3 linked regions of the Arabidopsis thaliana genome follow. The protein of the gene in region 1 interacts with the protein of each later gene in a pairwise test. Each region holds a gene or a part of one and is shown on either strand. Other genes may lie near its edges.

Region 1 (6,135 bases):
CGAGTCCAAGTTCCGTTGTTATCCCGCTTTGATCATCTGAGTGGCATGACGGTAAATTCTTTTAAAGATAAGCCTAGTTTGAGTGGTGAGTTTATTGTCTACGTGTCAACCCATGAGAGCTCAGGTGAGCCGAGAGCAAGCTGGACCGCCGTTTACTCTACCGAGTTAAAAACCGGGTTAACCAGGCGGTTAACACCGAGTGGTGTAGCTGATTTCAGCCCGGCGGTATCGCCTTCCGGAAATTTAACGGCTGTGGCTTCATACGGAGAGAGAGGCTGGACAGGGGAAGTTGAAGAGCTACGTACGGACATCTATGTATTCTTGACTCGGGATGGGTCTCACCGTGTCAAGGTGGTGGAGCACGGTGGTTGGCCGTGTTGGGTTGATGAGTCGACTCTGTATTTCCATAGAAGAAGTGAGGAGGATGGTTGGATCAGCGTTTACCGAGCCATCTTACCTGAAAACGGACCGTTGACTACTGAGTCGGTGACAATTCAGCGAGTCACACCACCGGGAGTTCACGCTTTCACACCGGCCACGTCACCAAACAACCACGAGTTCGTTGCGGTAGCTACAAGGAGACCAGGCTCGGATTACCGCCACGTGGAGTTGTTTGATCTAAAGAGGAATGAGTTTATAGAGTTGACTCGTTTGGTGGCGCCAAAGAGTCATCACTTGAATCCATTCTTGTCCCCTGACTCGTCTCGAGTCGGATATCATAGTTGTAGAGGCGATGCTAATGGACGGAGAAGTCCTCTGCTCTTCCTTGAAAATATTCAAACCACTACAAGGGACCTCTCTCTCTTTAGAATTGATGGTTCGTTTCCTTCGTTCTCACCTGGAGGTGATCGTATCGCATACGTTAAGATGCCTGGTGTGTTTGTGGTGAAGCCGGATGGTTCAGGGCAGCGTGAAGTGTACAAGGGAATGGCGTTTTCGACAGCTTGGGATCCGGTTCGACCTGGAATTGTGTACTCTAGCTCAGGTCCAACGTTTGCTACAGAGAGAACAGAGGTTGATGTTATCTCTATTGACGTTGATGCAGCCGATAAGTCATCTTCCGTGAGGAGGCTAACGACAAACGGGAAGAACAATGCTTTCCCTTGGCCATCTCCTGATGGTAAGCGGATAGTGTTTCGTTCGGGGCGGACTGGTCACAAAAACCTCTACATAATGGATGCTGAGAAAGGAGAAAGCGGTGGTCTATGGAGGTTAACCGAAGGTGCGTGGACCGACACAATGTGTAACTGGTCACCGGATGGGGAATGGATCGCGTTTGCATCAGATCGAGAAAGCCCTGGCTCGGGTAGTTTTGAGCTCTTCTTGATCCACCCCAACGGAACAGGGTTAAGGAAGCTCATCCAAAGCGGGACGGGTGGGAGAACAAACCACCCGATCTTCAGCCCGGACAGTAAATCATTAGTCTTCACTTCTGATTATGCTGGAATCTCGGCGGAACCGATCTCGAACCCGCATCATTACCAGCCATACGGTGATATCTTCACGGTGAAATTAGATGGCTCTAATGTGAGGAGGCTAACGCATAACTCTTATGAAGATGGGACACCGGCATGGGCCCCTCGGTTCATCCACCCCAACAATGTGGAGCTACAAAGGAGGAATGATTCTAGGTGCTCGTTCGAAGACTGTCACTGGCTCAACAAGTACCCTACACTAAAAGGCCGAAAAATATCTTGTTAATATGTATCTACAGTTTTGTATCCCAGCTTGTAACTCTACTTATAGATTTGTATGAGACTGCCACTGTATATGCATAAGACTTTGTATTATAGAGATCGTTAATGTGATATGTATATCATATTGTCAAAACAGTCGTGATAAGATATCAAACCCTCTTCTAAATGATAGTCTTGCTATTGCGGTTTGGAATCCTCATGAATTATCCAATGTCAATTCAATCTCAGCGTGATTGAAGACAGGTTTTTAAATTCCAAAATCTCTTCTTTAATCACGTTTATAAATCAGTTTTGATACATTATTACTATGTTTTGCGTACGTGTCAGAAGATTACTATCCATGTAATGTCTGAAGAATTAGGTGCGAGTCAAAAGTCATAACAGTCGATAAGATATCAAACCCTCTTCGTGACTTGGAAGGTTTGAGGCGGGGGCGGGAAAATCCAGAAAACGTCGGATAATGTTTATAAAGGAGTCTCTCCGTCACCGGAGAAAAATTAGAAGAAAAAAGAGGCGAAGAAGAGAGAGGAATGGCGCCAGTTCTTCAGAGCTCACAGCCATGGGTTGAGAAATAGTACGATTTCTTCTCACTGATTTTTTATTTCGTTGACGGAATTTATGTGGGGTTTAATAAACTCATTGTTTCCGATTTGGATCTAGCCGGCCGAAGCAGGTTAAGGACGTGGCTCACCAGGAAGAGGTGGTTCGTGTCCTCACCAACACTCTCCAGACTGCTGACGTAATTTCACTATAACCTCTTTGTTTATCGCGAAACAAATCCCTAATTATTAAAATCTGATTTTGTACAAGTGTGAAAAACCCTAGATGTCGAATTTGGTTCTCAATTCTGGGTTTTAATTTTTTGTTTGTCTCTCTGTTGTAGTGCCCGCACATGCTCTTCTATGGACCACCAGGCACTGGAAAAACCACTACTGCTCTTGCCATCGCTCACCAGCTCTTTGGGTAACGTATTCATTTGATAATTTGTGATAGCTGAAATTCGGATGACTTTTTGATTGATTCATTTGTGTGTACTTAGTTTGTATGAGACCTTGTGATCTCTAATATGATACATTCAGATTTGTGATTCAAATAACTCGGTTTTTTTTTTTTTTTATGTAGAAGCTGATATAATATGCACACTCAGACTCTGTGGTTGCATAATGATATACCAACTTCTCCCATTAGGTAGCTAGACAGTATACCAAGATGTGAATTCATAGGAATAGTAATCATTATGATTTTTCTATGTAAGTGGTTAGTTTTTGAAGCTGAATTGTCTTGTTCTTCTTTCCATTGCCTCCATGGGTGTCGTCCCATATGAGTCGGTTTCAGCTTCTTTTGAGAGTAATAATCACAGATTTATTTTCATGAGCCTGGCCTTGTTTTGTTATTTCATTTTGCTATATTATGTGGATTTTTACAATGGGCATGTGAACTAACTATAGAGTGTTTACAGACCTGAACTATACAAGTCTAGGGTGTTGGAGCTTAATGCAAGTGATGACAGAGGTATTAATGTTGTTCGGACTAAGATCAAGGATTTTGCTGCTGTTGCTGTTGGGTCTAATCATCGTCAAAGGTGTCGTACTTTTTATTAAGTTTTTTTTTTTTTTGGGGTCATTTTCTCGTTTCTGCATTTCATCTAAGACCTTCGATTTGATACTTCAGTGGTTATCCTTGCCCATCGTTTAAGATCATCATCCTAGATGAGGCTGATTCGATGACAGAAGATGCTCAGGTACGTTGAACATCTATTATTCACTACCGCATTTGTACGTTTGATATGTGTTTACCATGAGCTATTTTATTGACTGTCCAGAATGCCTTGAGGCGCACAATGGAAACTTACTCCAAAGTCACCAGATTCTTTTTCATATGTAATTACATCAGCAGGTAATTCTGTCACAACAGCCTTTTATTTTTTTTCCTTCTGTTCTCATTTGTTCTCCAATTTTCTCTCTGGTTATTGAAAATGATTGCTTTTTCGTTTATACTTTTGTTATATTTTGGAACATGCTCATAGTGAGCTACTTGCTGAACTATGAACCTACTGATTTTGATCACCCTTACAAACTTTGATCTCTTGTTCTGTAGGATCATAGAGCCCCTTGCTTCCAGGTGTGCGAAGTTCAGGTTTAAACCACTTTCCGAAGAAGTCATGAGTAACCGTATATTGCATATTTGTAATGAAGAAGGTCTCAGCCTTGATGGAGAGGTATGAGCAAATGCTTCAATGTTTTCCGTATTATTTTAGTTTTGTGAAAGCTGATTATTGTAGCCGTTTCCTATTCAGGCTCTTTCAACTTTGAGCTCCATATCACAAGGTGATCTCCGTAGGGCCATCACATATCTGCAGGTAAGATAAAACTATCTGAAATATTTGTTACTAGACGAAATCGACCATAGAAATGTGAAACACTCTTTCTACCTGAATATTGCAGAGTGCTACTCGGTTGTTTGGATCAACAATAACTTCTACAGATTTACTCAATGTGTCTGGGGTAAGGATGAAGTTAACCCAATATTTGCATAAGTGTATGGTAGGTTCAGCCATGTCAGACTTGCTGATGTTTAATATGGATGTCTAACGAATCTATCAGGTAGTTCCTCTAGAGGTAGTCAATAAACTTTTTACTGCATGCAAAAGTGGTGATTTCGATATTGCAAACAAGGAAGTGGATAACATAGTTGCAGAAGGATATCCTGCATCTCAAATCATCAATCAGGTTTTCTATTTTCCTCTCTTATTTTTACCCCATTTAAGTCATGCAACTGTGGCTATAACCCCTTCTATACAACACTCTTTCAGCTATTCGATATAGTTGCGGAGGCTGACAGTGACATAACAGACATGCAAAAGGCTAAGATCTGCAAATGTTTAGCTGAAACTGATAAGGTAAGACTTTCCCGTACTAATTTTCCTTACTTGTGTCTCTTTTAGAGCCTCAAGTGAGATCAATTACCAACATCTTGACTCAATTATATTACGGGTTTTGAGTGAAGTTCACATCTTAGATTTTTGCCATTTGAATCTGTAGATATGTTGCAATCTTGCTAAGGATGTCTCTGTTACCTCTAGTGATAATAAAATATCTCACATCTTTTATTTTTAATGTATCCAGCGACTTGTAGACGGGGCGGATGAGTACTTGCAGCTTCTGGATGTGGCAAGCAGTACAATTTGTGCCCTCTCAGAAATGGCTCAAGACTTCTAATGCAAATTCTGCTTGAATTGGACCTGTGCCTTAAGACTTATGAGACTATCATAGTGTAGGTTTTGATAAAAAGTTGGAGCGTTATGACGTTTTACTGGTTACTTATCTGTTATTGTTTTAAGAAAAACTATTAGATATATTTATTGCATCATTACTTAAGTCTATTTGTTTTGTGGGTAAGATCATTAAATATCATTACAATGTGAAATACATGATCGAATCAAAATAATTAACATCTCTTATAACCAACAAAATCATGACCAGATAGCTTGATGGACATTGCTTCTGTTGTAAGAATTAGTGAATCCCTTTATCTATATCCAATATTGACACCGTAAAAGGAGTAATGTGTTTCTTTACTAGTTGGATATATATACAGTGTAGATCCCAAAATGTAAATATAAAAATAAAAAATATAGTAGATTTATATAATTATATTTTTCTATTTATTACCTCTAATAATCAAAATAGTAAAATCCTACGAAAATGTAATAAAATACAAGAGGATTAATATACATATCCACATAAAAGGAAGATTCGGATACACATCCAAACTATAGAAAACATTAGTAATGCCATAAATAAATAAAAATGCTGTCAAGACACAAAATTCGTTGAATGTTATAGTCTTCACATAAAACTGTCATAAATCTGGATACGTTCTAAAAATAATTGATCTAATCTAAATCTATAAGTAGTTTCTTATTAGTAGAATCCTTATGAATCTTAATTTGATCAAGACAGAAACGCTTTTGTTTACTTTTACCTAATGGTCGATGGTGACGATTCTTTCAAGAGACCCGGAGCTGTGCCTTTTAAGTGGGAGATCCGACCCGGTGTACCTAAAACCCGACCCGGTGATGATGATCCAGCTCTTCTTCAACCACCTCCTCCTAACAAACTTCCTCCTCTCAAATTAAAATCAACTCCGCCGTCGAATTCGCCATCTCCGTCGTCTTCTTCTTCTTTCTTCTCTGAATCCAGAAGCCGACCAGTCTCTCCCTTCGCTCCTCCTCCGTCTTTCAAGCTGAAATCGCCTTCAGATTCCGACTCCAACTGTTCAGCATCTCCGACTCCATATTTCCGATCTTCTTCTCCTCGTGCCGGTGGCTCATTGCCTCGGTGTTTTTTTCCCAAGTCATTATTTGGGTTGAAAAAGAGTAAGAGCGGCGATTTAAAAAAGACCGGTCAGCAGGAACCATCATCAACAACATCGGAGT
Region 2 (6,119 bases), on another chromosome or scaffold:
AATAGAATCCGTGATAGAGTCCCCAACATATTTGTGTTATAGTATGAAGAGAATACATCAGAGATTCACAATGTACATTTGGTTGAGGGAAAGAGATGCAGTAATACCGAGGCTGACACTAGGCACTGTTGTCGGTATTTCTAATACCCTTATTGTGCCATACTTTGTCAATACCCACCCGGAAGGTCCAGCTACTTGGGAAAATATAAAGAAAGCATCTACCTGATTAACTGGTCCGTTCAATGATATAACGTTATCTTCAATCTAGTGCAGATGTCTGTTGATCTATAACATTTTCTCATTGCTTAGCTCACAACCAGTGAAACCTGGAAATTCTCAGTGCGATGGAGAGGATCACAGAATATGTCGATGCATAGTGAAGTATTTCCGCCTGTGGATTTGATTGTACCTCTCTACTCATCAGTATAGATATAGATGCCAACAAACGAACAAGGAAGGACTTCGAGAAAGCTGAAAGAACAAAGGCTCTCCGTAATGTTGAAACGCCACTGAACTCAGTGAAGTGAATTTTAGACTGGACTGAACAGAGTGACAAATTGGAAAGGCACAGTCCTTCGTTGGTACAATATTCTTCTATTGCTTTACGATGTTGGAAAGGCACACTTAACATATAATGCAACTTGAAATGCTTTCTTTGTTGAAGAAGACAGATAGACAGTATTGGTCAGACAAGCCCCTGCCCCGACCCTATGCCAAAGAGAGCAGCTAACATCTACTTACTGGGACATACATGTGACAGTTCTGTTCAGAATGCATTATTACAGGTTGTTTGGAAGAATGGTTTTTGTTCTTTACTCTTAGCCACCAGTAGTCTTATCTTCTGTAATTATGTAAAGAGATAGCTATGATTGACAAATGATCATGTTTTTTCCTGACTTTTTGTGGAGTGTCTTTGTTTGTTTAAGTTTCAGGTATCTGAGAATATCTTGTAGATAACCTAAATATTAGATTTTTGTATTGAAAACAAAAGATTGCGTATAGTTAGAACGTTTTGGGTTAATCAGCACTCCTAATCTTGTACATCTATCTATCCATCTCTCTTTATTGAAACTGAACCTAAAGCATCTGTATAAAATCTGAGTAACATCCATAAAGAAAAAACCCTTTTAACAAAGATATCTAATTACATTTGACTTATGGTGCAGTTTCATGTTGTGTTGTGCAGGTCATCTCTTATGGAAGAAGAAGAAGGAGAAGATGAAGCAGAAAGACAAGACCGCGCAATCTTAGACTCTTTGTCTTTGCTATATGCCTTTTGGACATCATCCTTAAGCTCTCTATATCTCATTCTTTTCAATCTTCTTTCATGTGTAGATCCCTTCTCAAAATGGAAATCGTCGAGGATGTCGTCGTCTATATACTCAGCCATGTACTTATCTAGAACCTCTGAACCATATGGAAAAAACCTTCGACCAGTCTCAACTGCATTGTGAAACGGTAATGAAGTCAGTCAAGAGAAAATGAGCAACATAAGAAGATGAAGGGTAGACTTACAGAGAGCAAGCTTTTTGTTACCTGTTTTCATTAGAGCCACCATACGAGTAAGAAGTCTTTGGGTTTGCATATGAGGAGTTTCGTTTAAATCAACCTGACTCAAGTTTCCGGTTAACCCACTCGAAGGAGGTGACAAACCCGTGAACTCACTTGTACCTTCTACGTTACCAATGTCCATAGCAACTTTAGCTTCCGTTGGAAAGAACAACTGAGCAAGCCCCACTGCAAAAAAGGTAGAAGCTTTAACAAAAATGTAGTAAAGATACAGAAGAATTCAGTAATTTTCAGTCAATTACCTCTCTTTTCTAGGTACAACAGTCTCATCTGGAGATCTTCAGGCATAGAAATGGAACACATTGGTGTATCTAGAACCATGGGGTTCTTCCTGATTTCTCTTTCCAAGATATCGATGCATAACCTGGCTTTACTAGATTCACGCCCTTTAGCTGTTTTGGTATGATAATCCTTTGGATTTGTCAGTCTTCTTAATATATTAACTGCGCTACGTCCGTCAGATGTAAACTCAGATGCATTGGCGCCTTTATCGATAAGCGATATAATGATCGATGGCTCTCTACGCATCGCAGCAAAATGAAGAACCGTGTAACCCCGGGAATTCCTGTAGTTCACATCACCCATATCCAGAGCAAGAATCTCGGCAACAACTTTCGGATCACTATACACAACAGAATAATGCAGACCATTGGCTTGATCTAGAGTGATATCTGACTCAGTCAAAAGAAGCTTCACAAGCTCAACATCATCTGAATCCAAGGCCTTGAGAATTTTACCGATTCTTTCAAGCAATTTCTCCGAAATCTTGGGACTGGTTTCTTCGTCTTGCGGGGATATAAGTCGAAGCTGTTTAATCTTCTCTGCTACTTCGGGAGGAACTTCCTTTTCAATACAGAACCTGTAAAGATCTGACCTCGCCACTCTCTCAATACACTGATCAAGAAGCTGAGTCAACTTACAATTGAAAGCAACCATAAGAATGGGAAGAACATTCTCAACAAGGGTCTTCTCCACAAAGTTACAAAGCCGCCGCTGCAAGCACACAAACCTTTTAGTTCTCATTGAGGTCTATGAATTAAGAAACAAAGAGACCGAAGAAAAAAGAAGACTTTTCACACACCTGAAAAGATGAAACTAGCTCAGGCACTTGGAGAACAGAGGAAGCATACATCAATTGAACAACAAAATCAATGGCAGGTCGACAACAATCATGAGAACAAACTGGATCAACACAAGTCGAAACCTCCAATGGAAAAGGCTTTAATCTCCCAGTATATATATAACTCAAGAAATACAAGAAAGCTTCATGAGCAACAGCTCCATAAGGTAACATCTCTCTCAACTGATACTTTGGTTTCTCAGTTTTCGAAATTTTCTTTTCTTTCTTAAACAAATCTTGGAAAAACTTACTTCTTGCAGCTAAAATGCATCTATGAACACCAACTGGAACACCATCAACAATGATCTCTGCATCACTGTAATCACAATCTGAATTACTAAGAAGCTGCTCAAGATTGGAGCTGAGTTTGGTTAGACTAACAACTTCAGGATTAGAAGCTGAGCTTGATGAGAAGTGATTGGACCCAATAGAACCATAAGAGAAATGAGAAGATGTGAAACTCAAAGATGATGATGGCTCAGTCAAAGTAGCCATTTTCTCTTCTTCTTCTTCTTGTAGAATTATCAATCTTGCATGAAGATCAAGAAGATTACACAAGTCTGAAGATCGGTTTCAGATACAAAAGCCCTAAATTTACATTTCTAACAAGGAATCAACCAAACCCAGAACCAAAAGAGGAAAATTTGTACACTTGGGGATTTGAGTTATGAAACTATTACTCTTACACCTCTGATTCAATGTACCACAAAAAAAAGTCAAAAGGAAAGGAAGAAACTTTGGACAAGGAATCAAACAAAATTGGGAGAGAAAATAAACCCTAAGAGAATCTGACACAACCAAGGATATAGAGATTGAGATCTGCACAATCGTAAGAGATAAGATCAAAGAGAAGGCAAAAGAACCAAATTGAGATGTATCAAAGAGATAAAAAGGAAGAGAATTTAGAGGAAAAGTCAAGAAAGAAAGAGAGGTATATAAAGGATAAATGATGATGAAATTGAGAACAAACAGGACACAACAGGTGCAAGTGATGGTGAAAGAAAGAGACAGCTTCAATGTGAAGGAAGATACAGAGGAAACAAGAGAGTTAATATAATAGTTTTTTTTGTAAATTTAATAATATGAATTAATAAGCATTAGAATTAAAAACATGGTCTAATAAAGTGTATAAAGAAAGACTCAAATGAAAGTTGACAAATAGAAAACAAAGACTAGAAAAATCCGTGTATGATGCCAAAGGTTCTCCGTGTATGACGCCACTCACTAACATTTTCCACATCTTTCTCTAATTTAACAAATCTATGGATAAACACATATTTTTTTTCTCATCAAAATCACTATTTTTATTTGACTGCGATATATCACATCATTAATATATTTTTATTTACATCATATTATTCAATAGTTTTAATTTGTTTCTTAGGTGTAAATAACTTGTAATGATATGCCAATTAATGCCGTCACGAAATAGCATTAAGTCAAGAAGATTAATATTAAGAAATAGCCGTCACTATTGATGACGGAAGGAAGTGACGAAAGCAAATACGAACGGCATATGAATGACGTGGCTTGTGTGTGGATTGCTGCAATGTGATGACGTATTAAACAATTACACTTTCGGAATAGTAGATAAATCATAAAGTAATAGTAGAGATTATAATAGGCAATAGCTATGCCTATAGTGGTCCAAATTTTTATTAAATTTATAATTTTGTGATGACCAAAGTCATTCTTTGTGGCCTAGTTCCAAATTTTAAGACATAAATAACGTTTTGAAATGAATTGAATATAGATATGAGGGACGACAATTTTGTCTTGATTTTTTTTTTTAAAACAAGAAGATTCTTGGCTTCGTAACAAAGTGGTGAAGTCTCTTATGCTAGCATTCTAGTCGCGTCGGAAATTCGACTCTACCTACAAGGCTACAAATACAATCGGTGAAATGCGTTAGCTGACTATTAAAAAAAAAAAAACTCTTTAAGGATAGTCGTTGAATAGTTTATTCATCAAATTTTTATATGAAATAAAATTTAATTAGCATTATTTCGATTGGCAATGATTCCTATGATTAAATTTTCGACTTTCGGTAATGCTATCGAATATAGAATTCTAACTATAAATATATATTTTTAACAAAAAATAACATATAAGTGTAAACTTGGATAGTGACAATGCAACGTCACTAATACAAATCATATTAGTATATTACTTTGACTTAAACTATCAAATATACGCTAAGTTTTGGTCACTAGTGACGCTGCGTTACTTTGGTAAACCATATGTTAATTTGTATCTTTCGTTCACTAAGTATCACTAAATCATATATTAAACCATCAACGTCACTAATACAAATCATATTACTATGGCTTAAATCATCAAATATGCGATAAGTTTTGGTCACTAAATAATTATTTTATGTATTACTTTGGCTAAAACCATCAAATATTAACAAGACAAAAAAAAGTTTCCTACCAATTCGTTATTTAGATCAGAAGTTTTAACCCATTCAAATTTACAAATTTCTTACATAAACTAAGTATAACGATGTAACCCATAAAGCCTTGAACTCACACAAGATTGAGGACATATATATTGGTAGTTATTCAAAATTGTTATATCACTTTATGACTCAAAAACGTAATTTGTTTTGTTGATGTCAATGGATTGATTTCTTTTGTTTTCATGTTTTTTTCTTTTTTTGCCATAAGACCAAAAACTTCAGGCTTTACTTCATGAAAATCCTAACACTTTTCATTTTAGTGGAATATTTAAATTCTTAACAAAAAGACAAAAACAAAACTCATACAAGAGATAAATCATTCTAAAGAGGAGTGTAAACTAGTAAAGCGTGACCTAACACAAGAGATAAAAATCATTCTAAGAGGAATTGGAAACGAAACTTAACTTGATGAAACAATTAAAAAGAAAAATAACAAAACAAAAAGAAAACTCTTAAATTTTCCATAAAAATATATAGTCAATGCCGGCTTAACTATAGGGGCCGATAATATAAACTTATAGGGTACATAACTACATATACATAAATTTATAGGGCACAAAAAAAAAAATCTATACAAGATGGACACAATTTGTTTTTTGTATATACTCAAAAGGCACCTAATGTTTTTGTTAAAAGAAGAAGTATATAAAAAAATTATGATATTAAGGAATATATCTTTTAAATTTGTCCCAAAGCATCTAAAATGTATGAACCTGTATATGATGAACTTTTTTATATTTTGGAAGAGAAAACAACCTTGATGACTCATGTAAATGTATTACTGGAAATAAAAATTGAAGCATCGATCCAATGGGGTGGTGTGTCAGTGTCGGTGATGCTTCCTAGTTCCTGCTGAGAAGCTACGCGGAATATATGGTTTATCATACAAAGTCTCCTTATGTAATTTTTTTATAATATCGAATAATTTGATATAATATCAATTAAAAAAGTTTATATAACATGCGTTTC
Region 3 (5,052 bases), on another chromosome or scaffold:
ATTGTCAGGTCGTTTCTTCGTGTGAGAACCATACTGCAATATAAAAACAATCACCAATGTTAGAACTCGCATCAAAGTTAATTTGCCAATACACCTTTCCAAATGACTTCTTAAGGCCTGTGATAACATCAGCCAATCATACCAATTTCCACCATAAATAAATACACATAGACTAACAAGACAGAAGCAGAGATGCCTTAGAATGAATCTAGATCACAGGATAGATCATCTTAATAACATTTTGTTCTATCTAGCAGTTCATAGCTAAGTTAAGAGGAGAATCAAAGTTGCAACACCATAAAACCAAGATGCAACAGCTGCCAAAGCTTATGAACTTACCACAAAAATGCTACAATCTGTTTTCTGAGAGAAGAACTCTAATGAAGTTTCACCTCCACTCTCGAAAGGCCTAATATTCTCATTCCTCCTTGAATATCTGATGGCACCTCCCTTCTTCAAACGGTAGAGTTCCGTCATTACAGAGCTAAGTGTAGCACTCGTCTTTGTTCCATGAAGTATCAACGTCTTCTTCCCAGTTTCAACCTACAAATTCCAAAAACAACCAATTCAGATACAAAGTTTGCAACTTTCAATCGATTCTTTGATAAATTTATCGACAAATAGAAAACCCATGAGTCTCATAGATGTCAAAACAACATTGAAGACAGCTCTCAACATGATTCACTTCTCGGTTTTAAGAAGGACGAAGGAGAAAAAGAAGAGAACTTTACCAACTTAGGAGCTCGGCTTTCGAGAACACGCTTGGCTTTGCCAGTCTTCGGAGTTCGTATTTCCATCATGACTCTGTTAAATCGCCGGAAAGTTTCACAAGCGACGGCTCCGAAAGAAGAGAGAAAGGTTTTTCGATTGATTGATATGGAGTCTAGGGTTTTAGTGCCTCCTCACAATTGGAAGCAACTTTAAGAGAATTCTAATATGACCCCTAACCTTATAAGTCTGTCCTAAATCACCCCACAGTTTTTTATTGACTATAAAACCCAATGTTTCACAAGGTCCATGAACTGTTTAAACTATACGGGCTCAAATTAAACAATGACAGCCCATGAACTTTTACACACAAAAAAGACATTTCATTGCGGTACAAAAAATTTACAAATTTTTATTTATGTTCACTTTTATATCCATGATGATGAAACTATACAAAACGAATAGAGAACATGAACATATTCCAAATTCGTTTCCATGTTATTATTCGAGTTGTTAAGGAGAAGAAACAACAAAACATTTTGATTGATGCTTCGTGTGAGATTTACAAGTTTCTCCCAATGGTACGATCAATGATCTTCACGCCTGACATTGTGCAATCGTAACTTGCTTCCCTGTTTTATAGAGAAGAAGGAAGATGCATGTAAGAGATATTTACATGGAACTGTCTTCTCCTCCACAACCACTTGCTTTTCATCCTCAAAAGGAAAAAAACTGGTCACTCACTACTGAATCAGACAGACAAAGTATCTCCAACTTAGATTCACCACAGAGATCTCAACCTAATAGTCTAGACCTCAAGATATTATAGTAAGGCATACCTTGCATAGACTTCTCGAGGTCTTGTAATTGTCTGATGAAACCAGCATTAGGACTTGCCACGGGTCTTTTGCTTTTAACATGTTGCAATGCTTGAGCTAAAGTCATACCGTGTTTCTTCATGAGGTAAGCAACAACTATAGTGACACTGCAAGTAAAAGGGACAAACCATCCAGGCTAAATATGTACTTAGTTTTGAATACTATCCAGCAAACAAGGCGAAAACCGCTAGATATTGAAGGAAGCAAACAAAACTGACCTCCGTGATTTGCCAACAAAGCAATGAACAAGAACACTACCGCCTTGTCTCTTGGCTTCATCAATGAAATCAACACACTCATCGAAGTACATTTCTAGATTTGTATCTTCCTTATCCACGACTATCACATAGAAAAACAATCAAACAAGCAATTCCATCCCAAAATCAAAAACATATTCTCTCTTCAACTAGATAACAAAGTGAAACCTTTAATAAGTTTATACCTCGAACAACCTTGTAAACAAAGTCATCAGGATGAGCTGGTCTCAACGAACTAGCAACAGTCAAAATATGTGTAACATTGTAAGATTTCAAAACATTCTTATTACTAGCTGCTGCAACAGATCCAAGATAAAGACCCTGAAAAAGTCAAATTCAACAAAAGGTTTGATCTTTGATAATGAATCATTGGTCATTTGGTTGGTAGAAAAAACCTATGAGTATTAGTAGTAGTAGTAACCTGTTCAATAAGGGAAGGGACATTGTCGTCTCTATAGGTACGAGCAACTTTAATAACACGAACAAGAGCTTGTATCTGATTCTTCACCTTTTCATTATACTTTTCTATTCCTGGTAACGAAGAAGATGACGAAGAAGAAGAAGGTGATCCTCTGTCTCTAGAACTCCTGATTTCATCGAATCAGAAAAAAGAAGAAGAGAGTTTACATATCAAGATCGTGATCATAGCAGCAAGAATCAAAATCAAAATCAAAATCCAGGTCACCGAAATAATGGAATCCGATTCTGATGAATGATCTTATAACCGAACAACGGTGAATCGAGAATTACGATTACAACGACGGAGTAGTGATTGGTTTAAGATCAAAAGAAGAATTCGATTATCAAGGAAGAAGAACTTACATTGGAAAAGAAGGAATACGAATTCGCCAAAGGAGAAAGAGATTTACAAAAAAAAAAAAACGAATCTTTGAAATGGGTTAAAGAGGAAATTGCAACTGCATGGTTCTCCAGGTTTTTTGGGGGAAGGAGGAGGAGGAGAGGGAAGGATGTGTTCAAAGAGGGCCAAATAGTAAAATTTCCTTTCTATCAGAAAAATCAGAAATGTTTTAACTTATTAGCTCAGTCCTTATATTATACTCAAAAATTTGTGTTTGGGATTTGTGCTTTGTAGGCTTGGTTTCCTGCTATTAGGCCCCCTGGATTAGTAAGAAGTAGTGTACTTGGCTGAAACTGAGGCAACGGTGTTGTGAATATGTCAGCAAAACTGTACAGAGGCAGAGATGTATCGAGTGATGATGATGTTGTTGTTAAAGACTGTTTGTTATTATGACGTAGTAGTAATCTACTTTAATGTTTTTTTCGAGGGCAGTAGAGCACAAATCTACTTCAATATAGTCCATCGAAGTTCGATATTTTACTTCGATAGACTATCTAATCAAAGCCGGTCTCGACGAGTTTCTCGGTTTCCATTTTGGTACGGTCTTTCCCATTCCTAGAAATTGTGCATGAACATGAAGTACTTCCTTGCTCACTTGATGCTGTCTTAGGCTTGTTTAGAAATAGGACCCTAATTGCTTTAAGAAATCTGACTAAAAAGTAATGGACAATGTACAAATGTACCCTCAGCACACCCTCTAAGCCCGGTCCTGGCACATATCGACGAGTTTGTCGGTTTCATTTTGGTATGGTTTGGTTTACCCACTCCTTGCTCACTTGTCTTAGGCTTGTTTAGAATTTGGGCTTATGGGCTTGGTTTGCTACGTCACCGTATACGTAACTTCGTCACCTCAAAAACTATGCGAGAAAGAGTGACTTAAGAAGCAACAAAAAGATAAACCAAAAACTATACGTTCTTCTTGTATGATGATGACGACATTGACTTTGAAACAGTGTTATCTAAAAACGATTTGATCGGAAATATCTAACAACGATTCAAGAAAACCAAATGAAATTTGCAATTTCCAAGTACAAATTCGAGAAATTGAGTAAACATAAACTTGGTAGAAGAAAGAAATTATTTTTCTAATTACAGATCGAAAGAAGATTCTTCAGAGCCAAGTAACAGAAACCAAGGAATTAGCAAGCCCAGATTGTTCAAAAGTAGTATTAGATCCAAAATAAAGATTCTTATAATCCCCAGGAAACCCTTGAATCAATTTAAAACGCCGCTTTCTCTCAGAAGATTCATCACCAATCTGCGAATAACAAAACGACCAAAGAAGCTGAACAGATTCACTCTTTAAGAAACTTCTCTGTATTCTTCTCCCATCTGGTAATCGAACGCAGATTCTGCACAAAACGCTTTGATCCATATCGCGATTCGGTTCTTCTGGTAAGTTAGGGAATCCGAATACCGCGTTTGATGAATTCGTCGTATTCTCGGTTTCTTCTGATTCTTCTTCAGAGAAGCGTTTCGGGCGTTTGATTCTTCGCAGAGACTCGATTTCCAGAGAGGCGACGTCTACGAACGGTGATAATTTCTCCATCATTGATTGACACTCGAGCATCGTTTTGATCGATGATTACGGAGAGATTTAGGTAAATTTCAAAACCCTAATTGTTTCATAGTTAGAGTGGATTTTTGTGGAATTTGTGAGCTTCTCGTTTATTTATAGAGACGAGACGATAGAGAGGAGCTATAAAGGTTTGTTTCCTTTTCCTTGAAAATAGAAAAATAGATTTATTAGTATTATTGTTTTTGTGTTAGTAGAATTGATTTTTGGAGATATTCTGCGGATTTTTTTTTGTTTCTATTTTCCTTTTTTTTTTTTGTGTAATTACAGATTTTGTTTTTGATAATTGTAAGTTTGTAATACAAATTTAATTATGAGAAATCTACATTGATTATGAATTGAGATTTTATTTGATTTCTCTAAAGAACCTAGTGACTTTCTTGAGCAATATCTTCTTGTTTTGGCAAGTTTTTTTTTTCTGTCCACATTTTTGCACGATTTTTAAGCAACAATATAAATAATATATGGATCAATTTCTTATACAATAAATTTATCGTATAATTTTGTCAATTACTAGTTTTCTTTTTTTTAGGTTTTTGTGTGTGGACAAACTCTCTTAAATCATTTTCATGTAATGATTTTGACTCTTATAAATTACTCTCATTTGACCCAAAAAAAAAAAAATTACTCAAGGTCTCAAGTCTCAACAATCAATAATTTTGCGTTTTGACTATCAAATTCATCAAGAAGAAGAAGAATTGATTATTTCTGTATATATGTACAATATCTTTTTTACTTCTTTAGTCGAAGAAGACATTGATTTCAATCAAAGTT

What was found.
Region 2: the proteins of EMB1968 (region 1) and NPR3 interact in binary tests that used the Arabidopsis thaliana proteins (3 or more experiments, as listed by UniProt).
Region 3: the proteins of EMB1968 (region 1) and DSPTP1 interact in binary tests that used the Arabidopsis thaliana proteins (3 or more experiments, as listed by UniProt).

The regions. Positions count from the first base shown.
Region 1 is NC_003070.9:7,613,448-7,619,582, forward strand, and holds EMB1968 (ATPase family associated with various cellular activities (AAA)), read left to right. Parts: upstream 1-2,166; 5' UTR 2,167-2,227; coding exon 2,228-2,271; intron 2,272-2,357; coding exon 2,358-2,436; intron 2,437-2,580; coding exon 2,581-2,660; intron 2,661-3,156; coding exon 3,157-3,279; intron 3,280-3,368; coding exon 3,369-3,438; intron 3,439-3,519; coding exon 3,520-3,593; intron 3,594-3,794; coding exon 3,795-3,915; intron 3,916-3,993; coding exon 3,994-4,056; intron 4,057-4,141; coding exon 4,142-4,201; intron 4,202-4,300; coding exon 4,301-4,426; intron 4,427-4,509; coding exon 4,510-4,596; intron 4,597-4,822; coding exon of another isoform or gene 4,823-4,875; coding exon 4,876-4,974; 3' UTR 4,975-5,119; downstream 5,120-6,135. Other genes in the region: AT1G21680 (DPP6 N-terminal domain-like protein), read left to right, coding at 1-1,701; AT1G21695 (hydroxyproline-rich glycoprotein family protein), read left to right, coding at 5,685-6,135. UniProt on the Arabidopsis thaliana protein: May be involved in DNA replication and thus regulate cell proliferation.
Region 2 is NC_003076.8:18,226,384-18,232,502, reverse strand, and holds NPR3 (NPR1-like protein 3), read right to left. Parts: upstream 3,736-6,119; 5' UTR 3,185-3,735; coding exon 2,651-3,184; intron 2,563-2,650; coding exon 1,812-2,562; intron 1,738-1,811; coding exon 1,537-1,737; coding exon of another isoform or gene 1,472-1,536; exon of another isoform or gene 1,444-1,471; coding exon 1,169-1,443; 3' UTR 925-1,168; downstream 1-924. Other genes in the region: AT5G45113 (mitochondrial transcription termination factor-related / mTERF-like protein), read left to right, coding at 1-226. UniProt on the Arabidopsis thaliana protein: Salicylic acid (SA)-binding substrate-specific adapter of an E3 ubiquitin-protein ligase complex (CUL3-RBX1-BTB) which mediates the ubiquitination and subsequent proteasomal degradation of NPR1 in response to SA.
Region 3 is NC_003074.8:8,475,895-8,480,946, reverse strand, and holds DSPTP1 (dual specificity protein phosphatase 1), read right to left. Parts: upstream 2,826-5,052; 5' UTR 2,668-2,825; coding exon 2,666-2,667; intron 2,431-2,665; coding exon 2,265-2,430; intron 2,165-2,264; coding exon 2,029-2,164; intron 1,926-2,028; coding exon 1,805-1,925; coding exon of another isoform or gene 1,774-1,804; exon of another isoform or gene 1,694-1,773; coding exon 1,548-1,693; coding exon of another isoform or gene 1,504-1,547; exon of another isoform or gene 1,455-1,503; coding exon of another isoform or gene 1,426-1,454; exon of another isoform or gene 1,412-1,425; coding exon 1,296-1,411; 3' UTR 1,106-1,295; downstream 1-1,105. Other genes in the region: AT3G23620 (Ribosomal RNA processing Brix domain protein), read right to left, coding at 1-33, 340-543, 732-800; AT3G23605 (Ubiquitin-like superfamily protein), read right to left, coding at 3,814-4,272. UniProt on the Arabidopsis thaliana protein: Has a dual specificity toward Ser/Thr and Tyr-containing proteins. Dephosphorylates MPK4 in vitro.